2 linked regions of the Stegostoma tigrinum genome follow. The protein of the gene in region 1 purifies or fractionates together with the protein of each later gene. This does not show direct contact. Links are inferred from orthologs where the notes say so. Each region holds a gene or a part of one and is shown in the gene's direction. Other genes may lie near its edges.

The links. The genes of interacting proteins can lie anywhere in the genome.
Region 2: the proteins of hspbp1 (region 1) and edrf1 purify together in Homo sapiens (affinity purification with mass spectrometry; 3 studies listed by BioGRID and IntAct, counting the BioPlex papers as one, with this or other methods). This does not show direct contact. The link is inferred for Stegostoma tigrinum from reciprocal best matches to the Homo sapiens genes HSPBP1 and EDRF1.

The regions. Positions count from the first base shown.
Region 1 is NC_081391.1:14,492,770-14,499,913, forward strand, and holds the start of hspbp1 (hsp70-binding protein 1), read left to right. Parts: upstream 1-4,069; 5' UTR 4,070-4,226; intron 4,227-7,144. UniProt on the Homo sapiens protein: Inhibits HSPA1A chaperone activity by changing the conformation of the ATP-binding domain of HSPA1A and interfering with ATP binding. Interferes with ubiquitination mediated by STUB1 and inhibits chaperone-assisted degradation of immature CFTR.
Region 2 is NC_081373.1:31,646,801-31,653,841, forward strand, and holds the start of edrf1 (erythroid differentiation-related factor 1), read left to right. Parts: upstream 1-3,953; 5' UTR 3,954-4,213; coding exon 4,214-4,318; intron 4,319-7,041. UniProt on the Homo sapiens protein: Transcription factor involved in erythroid differentiation. Involved in transcriptional activation of the globin gene.

The DNA.
Region 1 (7,144 bases):
CTCGAGAGAGTCTGGAACTCACTGTGTGAAAGGGTAGTTGATCCAGGTACTCCTGTAACTTTTAAGCAGTATTTATTCATTAACTGTTCATAATCACTCTCATCTAGAAGGGCAAAGGCAGCAGACACATGGGAGTACCATCACTGACAAGTTCCCCTCCAAGCTACTCACCATCCTGACTTGGAACGTTATCGCTGTTCCCGTCTGTCTTGCTGGAGCTCTTGCAGCTTTAACTGTGCGATTACCTTAGGAACACAGGAATAGGCCATTTGGCCCCTCAAGCCTGTTCTATCATTCAACGAGATTATCCTTCATTTATCCCTCCCCCTTGGTCTATAGAAATGCTTCCTAACATCTCTCCTGAGTGGTCTGACCCGCCATCTCAGCTTATGTACCGTAGTTTTAAAGCCCTGACCCTGTGTAAACATCATATCTTTATCTACCCTGTCTTTTCCTGTGGGTATCTTGAAGATTTTGATTAGATCACCCCTTAACAGTTTAAATTCTAGACAAAACAGAGTTAATTTGTAAAACGTCTCCTTGTTGCTTAAACCCTGAAGTCCGGGTATCATTCATGTAAATCTTACACTCCCTCCAAGGCCATTATATCCTTCCTACAATGTGGTGCCTAGATCTGTTCAGAGTACTCCAAGTGCGGTCTAATCAGACTTTGGTTTGACTTCAGCATAAATTCTGCATCCTCAAACTCCTGTACTCCAGACATAAATGTCAGCATTCCTGTTGCTTTTTTGATTATTTTCTGCACCTGTTCAAGATATGCACCTGAGCACCCCCCCCCCCCCCCCCCCCCGGTCTCTTTGGACATCCACTGTAGTTAATTTCATACAGTCTAGAAAGTACCCTGATCCATCTATGGGTGGCATGGCTATACAATGGTTAGTACCACTACCTCACAGCACCAGGGATCCTGGTTTGATTCCAGCTTCAGGTGACTGTCTGTGTGGAGTTTGCGTATTCTGTCCTTGTCTGCGTGGGTTTCCACTGGGTGCTCCAGTTTCTTCTCACAGTCCAAAGATGTGCAGGTTAGGGTGGATTGGCTGTGCTAAATAGCTCGTGGTGTCCAGGACGACACAGTATGGAGCTGGAGGAAAACAGCAGGTCAGGCAGCATCAGAAGAGCAGGAAAGTTGATGTTTTGGGTGTGGACCCTTCTTCAGAACTGGGGAGTGGGAAGGAAGCTGGGAAATACATAGAGGGAGGAGGGTTGGGGCTGGGGAAAGGTAGGTGGGATGGTGATAGGTGAATGCAGGTAGGGAGTAGTGGGGTTTGGTCAGTGAGGTGGGTAGGGTGGATAGATGGGAGAGAAGATGGACAGGTTATTGTCAAGTCAAGGAGGCAGGAGGGAGGATAGGTAGGGCTGGGGAAGGTAGGTGGGGTGGTGATAGGTGGATGCAGATGGGGGTAGTGGGGATTGGTTGGTGGGAAGTGTAGGGAGAATGGGTGGGCAGGTTGTATCAGGTCCATGGAGGTGGGGATGAGAGGGGAGGGTTGGACATGGGATGAGGCCAGGGTAGGGGAGATTTTAAAACTGGTGAATTCCATGTCTAAGCCATTAGGCTGTAGGCTTCTGATGTGGAATATGAGGTGCTGCTCCACCAGTTTCCGGGTGGCGTCATTGTGACATTGGAGGAGGCCCAGGATGGACATGTGATCGAGGGAGTGGGAGGGGGACTTAAAATGGTTCATGACTGGAAGGTTTTATCATTTGTCACGTACAGAGTGCAGGTACTCCTCGAGTCTGCGCTTGGCCTCACTGATGTAGAGGAGGCTACATCGGGAACATCAGATACAGTAGACCAAGTTGGAGGATGTACAGGTGAACCCCTATTGGATATGAAAAGTTTGCTTTGGGTCTTGGATGGAGGTGAGGGGGGAGGTTTAGAGGCAGGTGTAGCACTTCCTGTAGTAGCAGGGAAAGATGGTGGGGCTAATGGGGAGTTTGGAGTGGATGAGGGAGTTGCAGAATGAGCAGTCTCTACTAAGGGCACAAGATATGGGGAGGGAAATATCTCTTTGGTCTTGGAATCGAATTGTAGGTGGCAGAAGTTGTGGGGAATGATGCTTTGCATGCAAAGGTTGGTGGGGTGATGTGTGAGGAACAGAAGGATGCTGTCTTTATTTTGTTGGGAGGAGGGGGTTTGAGGGCAGAAGTGTGGGAATGGCAAGAGATGTGGTTGAGGGCATTTTTGATCACTGGAAAGGGCAAGTTGCTGTCCTTGAAGTAGAAGGACATCTGAGATGTCCAGGAGAGGAACGTCGCATCTTGAGAGCAGATGCGGCAGAGACGGAGGAATTGGGAGTATGGGATCGCAATATTGCGGGGGGGAAGGGGTTGGTGAGAGGAGGTGCAGTCCTGGTAGCTATGGAGTTGATGGGTTTGAAATAGATGTCAGTGTTGAGGCGGTTACCAGAGGTGGAAATGGAGAGGTCCAGGAAGCGGATGGAGGTAACAGAGATGGTTTAAGTGAATTTGAGGTTGGCTGGAAGGTGTTAGCAAAGTTGATGAGCTGTTCAAGCTCTTAGTGGAACACTATCTGCATAGTGTCTGGGAATGTGTAGGCTAGATGGGTTAGCCATGCTAAATTTGGGATTATGGGGTGGGGGGGGGTGTTCTGGCTGGAATATTGTTTGGAGGGTTGGTGCAGATTTGATGGGCTGAAATGGACTTGATTTTCTGCACAGTGGGGATTCTACGTTTCTATCCCTTTTTGGTCAAAAATGGATAACCCTACTCTTATAATGAACTCCATCCGCCACAGTTTATCAATATTCCTTTGTAATTTAATGCTGTTGTCTATGCTGTCCACAATGCCACCTAGTTTGTGTCATCATCAAATTTGGATATGACTTTCAATGCTATTGTTTAAGTCATTAATAAATAATGTAAATAATCGAGGCCTAAACATAGGTCCTTCTGGGACATCACTGGTTAAATGCTGTCAAATTGAGTGTCTACGCATAACCTCTACATTTTGTCACCTGCCACTCAGCCAATTTCCTGGCCATATCAGTAATTTGACCTCCGTTCCCTAAGCTTCTTCCTCTTCACCTCCTCCACCATGCTATAACATGCCTTCTCCACACAGATTGCAGAGTTTCCAGAAAACAATTCATCATATCTCTTTTATGACTATTTACAGATGGGCAATAAATGCTGGTTTGGCCAGCAACACCCACACACTGTTAATGAATAAGCAAAAAAAAGGTTTAATTACTTGGCAAAGATCATGACACATAGCACCAGAAGCAGAACATTTGCTTCTTCTCTGTTGCACCATTCAATAAGATTGTAATTGATCTGATAATCCTCAAGTCTACTTTCCTGCCCTATTTCGTAACCCTTGATTCCCCTTCTGCCCCCTCAGCTTTGAACATACCAACCCAACATCAACAGTCCTCTGCGGGAATTAAAATACTGTCTGACAGAAGAAATTCCTCATCTCTGTATTCAATGGAAGATCTCTTACTCTTGCCTTTGGTCCTGACTGTCACACAAGGGGAAACAACCTCTCAACACATACCCTGTCAAATCACCTCAGAATCTTATGTTTTTCATTAAGGTTTTTGTCATTGTTCTGAAGTCCAATAGGTACAGTCCCAACACAATCTCTTCTCATAATATCAGTTATCAACTTTGTTTGTATGGCGAGAAAGTAAAATATTTAGATGAGCACACAGGCTAAGTGCAGCAAAATAGGATTAGAATAGGTAGATATGATGAGTTCATGGCCTTTATTTGAGTTGTTAAAAACTCCATTGCTTTGTAATTTGGAGCATCAAAGTCCAGTGTCTCCCTATTGTTTATAATAAAAATAACTGATGATTTGAAACAAAAACAGAAACTGTTGAAGAAACACCATTTCTGGCACCATTTGTGGACAGAAAACAAGGCTTTACGTTTTAGTTTCATTGAACCTCCCTGCCTCTGGCTTCAGTGAGATAAAGGCCTGAGGGGGCTGGTGGGTTTCAAAGATGGCGGCGCTCAGATGGCAACACACGCAGCCAGTTGCCCCGCAGTGGCGTCACGTCCGGCACCCTGACGCCACAAGGCAACCGTGGCGCAACGTCCGGCAAGATGGTGGCGCCCATGGGCTGAATGCGCTGGAAGAATCTGGAAAGGTGGAGAAGCTTCGGTGCGGTCGGCAGCGGCAGGAGGTGGCTGCACGGCCGGGAAGGTGACCGGGCCAAGAGGTCGTGGAGATCGGGGTAAGTGACCTCTCCCTGTCCGGTAACAGTGCATTGAAACGGGATTGGGAGCCTGTGGAGGTTTAAGGGAGAGCAGGATGTGGGGTGTGCGACCATTTCGAGGCGTCTTGTTGACTTGGGGGGGACGGTGGGTGAGGAAACGATTCCTCTCAGTATGGGCCTGGTTTTTGGAGCGGAGCAGAGCGCCATTTCTGCGGCGAACCCCTCCCCCCTTTCCCTGGGGATGGTTTCTGACCGAAACCTCAACTCCGTCTCTTTCCCCACAGATGACACCAGCCCTGCTGAGCTTTTCCAGTTTCGGGCTCTCAGCGTCCGCAGTCCGTTATTTCAGGCACAGTGCGTCTCCACACTGACCTCGTTGATCAGGAGCATCAAAGCAGCACGTTGCTGTCTCTGCATTGAGGATCGTTCTTATTGAATCCGAATGGGTTTCGTTTTGGCAAGGAGGGTGATATGTAACATTTGGAAGCCTTGTTGAGGCCATACATGTAATGTGAACACGGGTGGTCCATAAGGCAGTCGTCTTTCCTAAGGACGGAGAGGTATTCTTAATCTGTTCAGACATGATATAACCCCTCTGGAGGAGTGGGAGTTGATCCTGGGCTTCAAGAGCATTTTCCTCCTTATCCCCACGGAGGGATATATTTTACAGCTTTTTGTAGCTTTTAGGCTATAAACTGAAGTCGGGAAAAGGGACCTTGTGCTCACAGGCATATCATCCACAATCTTGCTGAATGGCAGTGCAGGTTTGAGAGGCTACTTTTCTTTCTTAGGCAGCTGTCCCATTCCTAGTGGCTGTGTATAGCAAGTGGCTGAGAAATGTACACTTGTGCGATAGTCGTAGTGTCCCTGTGGACCAGGAGGCATGGTTCAACACTCGTTTGCTTTAGAAGTGTGTAATAACATCTCTGAACAGGTTGATTTGAAATTATATAACAATTGTTTGCGGTTGGTCTGAACAGATGACTTTTTTTCTGAAATCGAAATAGTTTTTTTACCCTAATATTCTGGTTGGGTTCTACCCTTGAGATGCTAAAGACCCAGGCAAAACAGATGAAACTCATGATGAATTTGTACAAGGGATTCAGAGAGGCAGGTTCAATGTTGAATGAATAATTGGAACTGAACTGGGAAGAACCAATAGAACAAATTCTGAGAAACAGGGGCCTTGCATTTAAAATTGAAGGATGTTCTGTTTTAAAGTGTTTAAGATGTTAAAAATAATTAGGATCGATAGAGAGCAGCTGTCTTTGGGGGAAAACAGGGACAAAGCTCAGTGGTTGTGTATTTTTTGCCTTGTGGGCCAAATTTCCTTGTGAAATCACGGTCTGTGCTTCCACCAATCTCATAGGCAGTGAGTTCCACATCATTACCCCTCAAAACAGAAAAAATAGTTTATTTCTCAAATTTACTTTGCATCGCTTACCTGAAACCTTTAATTGGTGCCCCTTCATCTTTATAAAATCAGCTGATGAGAACAGCTCCTCTTTTTCCACCTTACTTGTTATAATTTTGTACTCTTTCATCAAAATTTTCCTTGATTATCTTTGATAGTTTGTTTAGCTTAGGCGTATGGCCCAAAAAGCTACTAAAATCATTTCAATTCCTCCATTAGAGCAAATCTTTATTTGATGTTTTCTGTAGCTTGGGTAGCCCTGAGTTATGTCTTGCCTCTTGAAGATGCATTTTTAACTGCCAGGATTCTATGCGTATGTCAAAATGTGGAAACAAAATGTAGGCACATAGTATTTTTTAAAAAAATATTTTGTAGGATGTGTGTGTTGCTGGCAAGGCCATCACTTATTGCCCATTCTGAATTTCATTTGAGTTCGTGCTGGTGAGCGGCTGCCTTAAATTGCTGTAATCCACTTGGTATTGGGAAGGGAATTCCAGGATATTGAACCAGCCACAGTGAAAGAATGCAGATATGATTCCAAGTCAGGACAGTGTGTGGCTTAAAATGAGCTTGCAGGTGGTGGTGCTCCTTTGCCTCAGCTGCCTTTGTCATGCAAGGTGCTGGGGATTGTGGTTTAGGTGGGTGATGCCGAAGGTACCAAAATGAGTAGCTGTATCATCTTGTAGGAGGTGAGTGGTTACACTAGTGGATGGGGCACCACCATCTGGTCGATGATGATCTTTTCAAGTGTAATTGGAATTGCATTTGTGTTTGAAAGAATAGAATAGACCTTTCTGTCACATATACTCAACATGGAGAGTGAAAAATTTATACATTGCCAATTACAGCACTGACTTAGATACAAAAGTACCTTGTAACAAAAAAACTGTGCCAAGATTTTAGATAATACTGAAAAGAGTTCAGTACAGCAGACCACACTGGCACTTAGCTTCCAGTATGCACTGGGCTCTGGCTCCACACTGCGCTGGCGACACGCTGCATTGGGAAGTCGCAGCAGGAGGCCCCACAGGACAAGACTGCTGTGCCAGGCTGGGAGTTTGCTATGCTGCATGAGCTCGAAACATTGCAGTGCCAGGCGGCGAGGTCCCTATGTTAGGAGGTCACCATGCTATGCCAGGGGGCCCATACAGGAGGAAGTTACCTCGCCAGTGCTGGGAGTTTGCCAGGCTGGGGAATGTCGCTCCTTGCAGACGCCAGGAGTCAAAGCAAAAAAAAAAGAAGAAAAGAAGCACTAGGAGGAGAAAAGAAGAGCAGGTGGAGTGGACGAGCATCCTACTTTGCCATCTTGCAACAGCAAAAAAAAGTGGACAGTATTCTGTCACACTCCAGGTGGTGCACAGATTTTGAGGAGTTGAGAGATGCGTTATTTACCTTTGAATCTTTAGCTGCTGGGTTGCTGTTGTGGCCACAGTATTTGAATGGCTGGTCCAATTCAGTCTCTGATCAGAGGTTAATACCCCACATCACCCTGCCCTCTCTTGACTGGTGTGCAGTATGAATG
Region 2 (7,041 bases), on another chromosome or scaffold:
GTATAACAGACCAAGTTGTGGCTCTGGGTGCAGTTGTGAAGCCAGATACTAGCAGTATTACTGTGGGTGCAGGGAAAGTGAATTAGTTACCTAAGAGCTACAGGGAATGCTTGTTGAAAAGAAAAGCAGCTCCTTATCAAATGAGATAGGTAAACACATTATTATACTTTGGGAATGATTTGCCAGCGGTAACATAGTAGCTTCTTCAATAAAAACAGAAAGCAGTTGCAGGAAAAGATTCCAGGATTTTTGCCTTCATGTATACTGACCTGAACAATGGCTAAACAAATTTAAATGTTGGAAGCCAATTTGGCGCAACGGGTGTTAGGCTTTCTGAAACTTTGGGGATTTGAATAATCTGAAAAAAATGTTTATAAGTCTTCTTCGATCAAGGTTCAGCAAGTCAATCCAGAGTTAAGAAGCATATTCAGCACAAACCAAAATTTAAGCAGAGGCATTTCCAGAATACTAGAATATTAAAAATATGATTCTAATTTGGAAATAGAGACATTCTCACAGACCTGTGAATGAAGATAGATGGTTCACTAGATAGTGATGCTGCTCAAATATCATCAGGAGATATTAAGGATAGCCAATTAAATTCCGAAATAAGACATGTAAGGATCCAGAAAAACCAAACCTGAATAAGATGACATTTCCCTTGCCAGGACTTCAAAAGAACTTTTTTTTTTAAAAAATGTGTCATAATAGCTAGATTGTAGGAAAACCACAGCTGAAAAGAAACCAGCAAAACTAATTTCCTCTCTGAGGAAGCGTCTAGGCCCAAAATGTCAGCTTTTGTGCTCCTGAGATGCTGCTTGGCCTGCTGTGTTCATCCAGCTTCACACTTTGTTATCTTGGATTCTCCAGCATCTGCAGTTCCCATTATCTCAGACTAATTCCTGTACTGTTTTTTGGGTAATCAATCTTTGGGGTGCTGGTAAACTGTGAGTGTCTTCTACTGAAAACAGGAGTGAGAAACCAGTATATCTGTACTTTTATGGTTTGACTGCTTTGTTTCCAGATGCTAATTCCTTGAGAACAATTTCTGCCAAGCTAATGATGGAGAAGTTAACAGAGTTCTTCATTCAAAATGGATTAACAATTAAGATCTGGCTGAATTGACATTCCAATTATATGTCGAAAAAGTTCTCAAGACAATTATGAGCAGTCTGGATCTAACACAGTTAAGTCCTTAGTGTACAACCCACACACACACACACACACGGGGTTTTAGAACTGTACGGTCAAACCCCCAAAACAATGTTTAAGGTATAATGTTAATGTTACCTGTTCCCAATTTGTATGGAACCATAATTATACAAATGAAAAGGAACCTCAGTCATGTGGATCCTCAGGCAAGTGAAGCAATGACAAGATCTGACAGATTTAAAGTAATTGTCGCAAAGTCTAAAGGGGAATAAAACCTACAGACTTGTTAGGATCTGAAATGCACACCCTGAAACAGTGGTGGAAGCAAATCCCTTTAGCACTTCTAAGAGATAACCGGACATGTGCTGGATTAATTTTCAGGTTTACTGGCAGAAGAACTGGTGTGTCTAAATTGAAGTTATTTCAAAAATTGACAAAGACATATCAGACCATATGACCTACTTCTGTCCTGTAAGAGCTATCATTCTATTTGTAAATAGTGCCCAGTAAAAATGCAACAAGCTGTTGCATAATTGCGATTTTGCATAATTTATAGAGGCTACTTTTGTAATATATATATATCGCCAGAAGTGTCCTTACACACAAAATCGAATGATTTTCCCACCACCAAATCACTGACAATTTTTCCAACTACTAACCACCACCAATAAGTCACCTGTACAACCAATCTGATATTTACATGCAAAGCCTATCACGAACAATGCAAACCATCAGAAGTGAGGGAATGGTAGGGAGAACAGGAAGGGGGAAATACAGCACTGAAGCCCTCAGGGTACCACCTGTTTCTAAAGGCATTGGGAACATTGGTGGACACTATGTGCTCTGTCTCCAATGGCACCCAGGCAAAAATATAAACAGAGGCCCTTTATTATGTTTTCCTAATCAACTGTTCAGAGATGTTAATGACACACCTGTGGAGCAGGTGGGACTTGAACCCAGGCCTCCTGGTGCAAAAGTAGAGAAATTAGCACTGTGTTATGAGAGCACATCTGACAAACTCTTTAGATATTTTCTAATCAACCTTTTCAGCAATGATTTTACACACCTCTGAAACAAGTGGAACGTGAGCTGTGGCCTCTTGGTTCAGAGATAGGGACATTACCATTGCACCACAACTGCCATGTAGTTAATTAAATATATACAAGCAAAGCCCATTATGGGCAATACATACACTCAAAAGTGAAGATGGGAGGTAGGGAGAAAGGGAAGAGACAAAACCAAAATGGAGGTGGAGAGGGAAATAAAGCACAGTATCCCGCCAAGGTGCCCACCTCTCTTTAAAAGCAACAGATTCTTTATTTTTCAAAGAAGCTCTTTATTGTTTTATCTGCAATTTAATACATGTTAATAATTAAGTAAATATTTTATCCTTGGCATTCCCATGAAATATTTTGAATACATGAATCAAGGGTAGTTCGCCCTTGATTCAAATTTGTTCAATTCTAAATGTTTAATTCTCATTTTCATCACTGAATTCCCATTTTGCTCCATTTGTGTTGATTAATTCAAATTACTGACTAATTTCAAGCATGATTGTAAAATATTGTGTCCTGATGATAGGTCACTAATCTCTACAGAGAATGCTGTCTGACCAACTACATAATTGCCAACATTTACTGTTTTAATAGTTGAATTATCAGCAGATTGCATAATCATTTTCTGTAGTTTGTTTTCGCTGCAGTTTTTCATCAGCCATGTATTTTGAATTTTTAAAAAGTTATGTATCTTTTATTCGTCTCAACAGAAATAGCAGATATTAACATTCCTGGAACATCTAAACCCCAATGCTTATCTCACCAACATACTACCCTTTAGTGAAAATGAGCAGAAGGATCAACTGTGCGCTGAAATCATAGGTATTTTCCACTATATGGGTTGCACTACATTTCAGGAATATTTAAACACTACTATAAAATTTTCTATTTTCTTGATGCTACAAATTCAGAACAAAATGAAGCATTTGGTGAAATACATATATTTTTGCGTAAAATGTGGAATTAACTTCTGAACATAGCTAAACAAACTTCTAAACATTTGCAGTACTTTTGGATAAACATGTGCTGGCATCAAAATAAACAAATGAGATTCATTAGGAATAATATTAATCACATACTTTTTTTTAAATTATAAAGACCTTGAATATTGATGAACAGCGGGACTTGCTGTTTATGTTTCGCTTTGTCTTCCATTTCCAGGGTCGACACAAGAAAGCCAACCTTCAAATGATGACAACAGCTTATGCTACAGGAGGAATATGGCAAAACATCTCTGATGTCCAGGGTGTTGCCATGGAAAAAAACAAGGAGCTCAGGTTCCCTCGTCGCCCAGGTAATTCAGAAAAGGTACAAGACTTGAACTCATTTGTTTGCAGAGAATTGATCCCTGAAATTAACAAATGTTGCTTTCAACAAGACGTCATACGTTTGACATATGGCTTTGTACCTGCCACCGAAATCCAGATATAACGTTCTCTCCACCATTATGACTACTGAATCAACTTTCCCCACTCTGTTAGATTAGAGAATAAAACGCTTTGAGATAGGCGAGGTGAGGGGCATAGATCGCCAGGCAGCGAAAGCCAAAATGAAAACATTTTCTTTCCTGCATGTGTATTGGGGTGCTTCTGGCGGATGCCTCCTCTCCAATAAGTGCGATAGGTGTAACGAATGTACAAGAGATTGCCGTCAGCAACGAAGCAACCATCTCCCTCTCTTTTCCGAGCTCTGACCGTTTCTAACGGAACTCCGCGCGTTGCCGGAAACTGGATTGCGGCACTTCCGGCAGAAGTTTCTGGTGACACTACTGGTGCTTCGCCTCTGCTTGGGGCAAGGGGGTGGGGGGTGCCGGTAGTGACCGTCCCCGGCTGCTGCCGCCACGAGGGTAGGAAAACACTCCCGTTCGCCTTTGTGTTCGACAGCGCCGCGTTTAACCTCGTTTCTTGTCCCACTTGTTTGGTAATGACTTCTAGAACGTTCTGGGCAAGAAGCCGGTTCATGTTTTTGCCCGGAGTGGCCCGTCTCCCCCACGCTGCCGAGTAACCATGGAGGGAAGGGAGTGTGCGGCCGCAGCCAGTGGTTCTGCCCCTCGAAAGGCTGAAGTCAGAGAGAGTAGCAGTAACAGCAGGGAAACTTGTGACTTGAAACAGGTAGGTAGGAGGTCCTTTGTGCTTTCTCGAACTTTTTGTTTTAAATTTTGAGACTCCTCATTGGTCGAGCCTCCATCTCCAACCCTGCTGTTCACCTGGATGTAGCCCTCGTCAGTTATTGACACCACCCCTCCCTTATCCACAATCCCGGAGGATCCCGGTTACTTCTCCAAGGACACAAAGCACAGAAGGCCCTCGAAATGACCATTTGCCAGTTGCTCCCGGTAGTTTAGAAACCAGGGGATGCGTTGAAAGTTTTAGCGATAGGAATGGTGCGGGTGTGTTGCTTTGAGTTGCAACTTTTGAAATGCAATTTATGGTCATGGAAATGCTGCCTTTGAGGATGTTGTACTCAAATGAAAGATGACATCAAAAGGAAGTTCCATGAAGACTTGAGGAAAATCAACTTGCAGGGCTGTGGGGGATAGAGTAGGGAAATTATAGTCGCTCAGAGATCCAACATGATTTTGATAGACTGCCTTGCTCCTGTGCCGTGATAACTGAGATCTGATCTGATCTTTCTTTCTTGGTCCCCAGTTTTGTAATTCCTAATCGCACAAAATTCTCTAAGGTAGTGTGGAGCTGGAGGAACACAGTATGGAACTGGAGGAACACAGCAGGCCAGGCAGCATCAAGTAGGAAAGCTGATGTTTTGGGTCAGGACCCTTCTTCAGAAAATTCTGTCCTGCCATGTTCCTCCAGTTCCATACTGTGTTCCTCCAGCTCCACACTACCTTAGAGAATTTTGTGCGATTGGGAATTACAAAACTGGAGACCAAGAAAGAAAGATCAGATCAGATCTCAGTTATCACGGCACAGGAGCAAGGCAGTCTATCAAAATCATGTTGGATCTCTGAGCGACTATAATTTCCCTACTCTATCCCCCACAGCCCTGCAAGTTGATAACACAGTATGGAACTGGAGGAACACGGCAGGCCAGGCAGCATCAAGTAGGAAAGCTGATGTTTTGGGTCAGGACCCTTCTTCAGAAAATTCTGGCCTGCCGTGTTCCTCCAGTTCCATACTGTGTTATCTCTGATTTCAGCATCGGCAGTTGTAACCAGCACAAAATCTTCTGCCCCCTTTTGAAGATCCACAATTACGGCCACCCACGTACAGTTATTGTTTCATCTGGTTTTTACTCCACTCATCTGATTCCTTGTTTTCACAGCTCATATTCCAGTTTATCCTTTTGTCTGACCTTCTGATGTCTGTATTTGTGACTCTTGATGCTCGCAGCCACTTGCAGTTTCCACTAATGGAGAATAATGCAACTAAGCACCCGCCTATCCAGTTCTGAGGGACAAGTTGAGGGGGCTAGAGGGCTTGTGGGGCCTCCATTCAAACAAGAAGTAATCTGTCCCTATTCACCAACACTTCTCTCTGCCTGCCTGCACTCGTCAATTTTGTACTAGTTTCCCTCAATTTCACTGACTTGTCCTAAGTAAAATGAGTATTCATACATGAGAATGGCCCCTATCTGTCTTTTCATGGGATATGTGGCATATTCTTTATTATAGTACAATTAGGGAGCCCCTCCAGCAGATCTATTTCTGTGTATTGATGGTGCAATTGGTATTTCCTACTGTTGAATTTTTCAGCTCTAGGCAATCAACCTTGTTTCGTGTTTCCACCATTCCCTGCCCTTCAGCTCCCAGTGTTCCTTAACTACTTTGTTTTGTTTCAGGTGATAGGCTACCAAACAGTTCCTATTGTGCTCTCTCAGACTCTAACTGTCAACGTGACTACACTCCCTACAATCCTGCTTCCTTTCTTGTATCTTCTGTGCTGCTGCTTGCCTGTTCTGATTATGCCACCTCTGAACCATTACTTCCTCTATTGTGGGATTTCCCTTCATTCTGGTTGTTAGGATCTTAAACAGTATCTGTCTGTTTCCTCTCAGCCATTCCAGTACTACAGCAGGACTCCTCTTAACTCCAGCCTGCCCATTCAACAGATTTATCTGCAATTTCTGCTCCTTGTAATGTCAGCAAATGCTTCCCTTTTTCCAGTCCAGAGGTTCACTTTGCATTCTGCCTCCCCCTTCCCATGGCACGTTCTGTTAAAAACATAGGGGATGTAACATCTGCCTCTTCCACCCTTCACATTATAGATACCAAAAACATTCTGCCAGTGGAACAGTGATTTATTCTTTCAGATGTTTAACCTACATTTTGTGCATTTGATAAAATACCTCTTACATTTGGTAAACCAAATACAGATTAGGTGACTTTTTGAGGAATGCAATCTTTCAGTTTAGAAATGAGACTCTGAACTTAGCATCACCTGTCGCTTTAATTCTGCAGTCCATGCTGTTCCAGTGAAGCTCAATGAAAGCTTGGAGAAAAGTGTTGTATCTTTCAACAATGCACTTTACCACCTCCTAGATTTTAAAATTGATCTCAAGAATTTTAGATGATGACAATTGCCTCCAATACAAGCAAGGCTAACAGTTGTTGTGCTGATCAACTTTGGGAAGAACTGTGAATGTTGCCTGCTTGAACTGTTACAAATGTAAGTACACTTGCAGTGTTGTTAGAAAGGGAATTCCAACATTTTGACTGAGCAATAGAACTGAAATGGTATATATTCCAGTCAGGATGGGGCATGGATTGGATGGGAAATTGCAGATAATAGTGTTCCCATATATTTGCTGCCATTATCTGGGTTAAGGTTATTGTTAGAGGTTATTTGGGGCGGCACGGTGGCTCAGTGGTTAACAC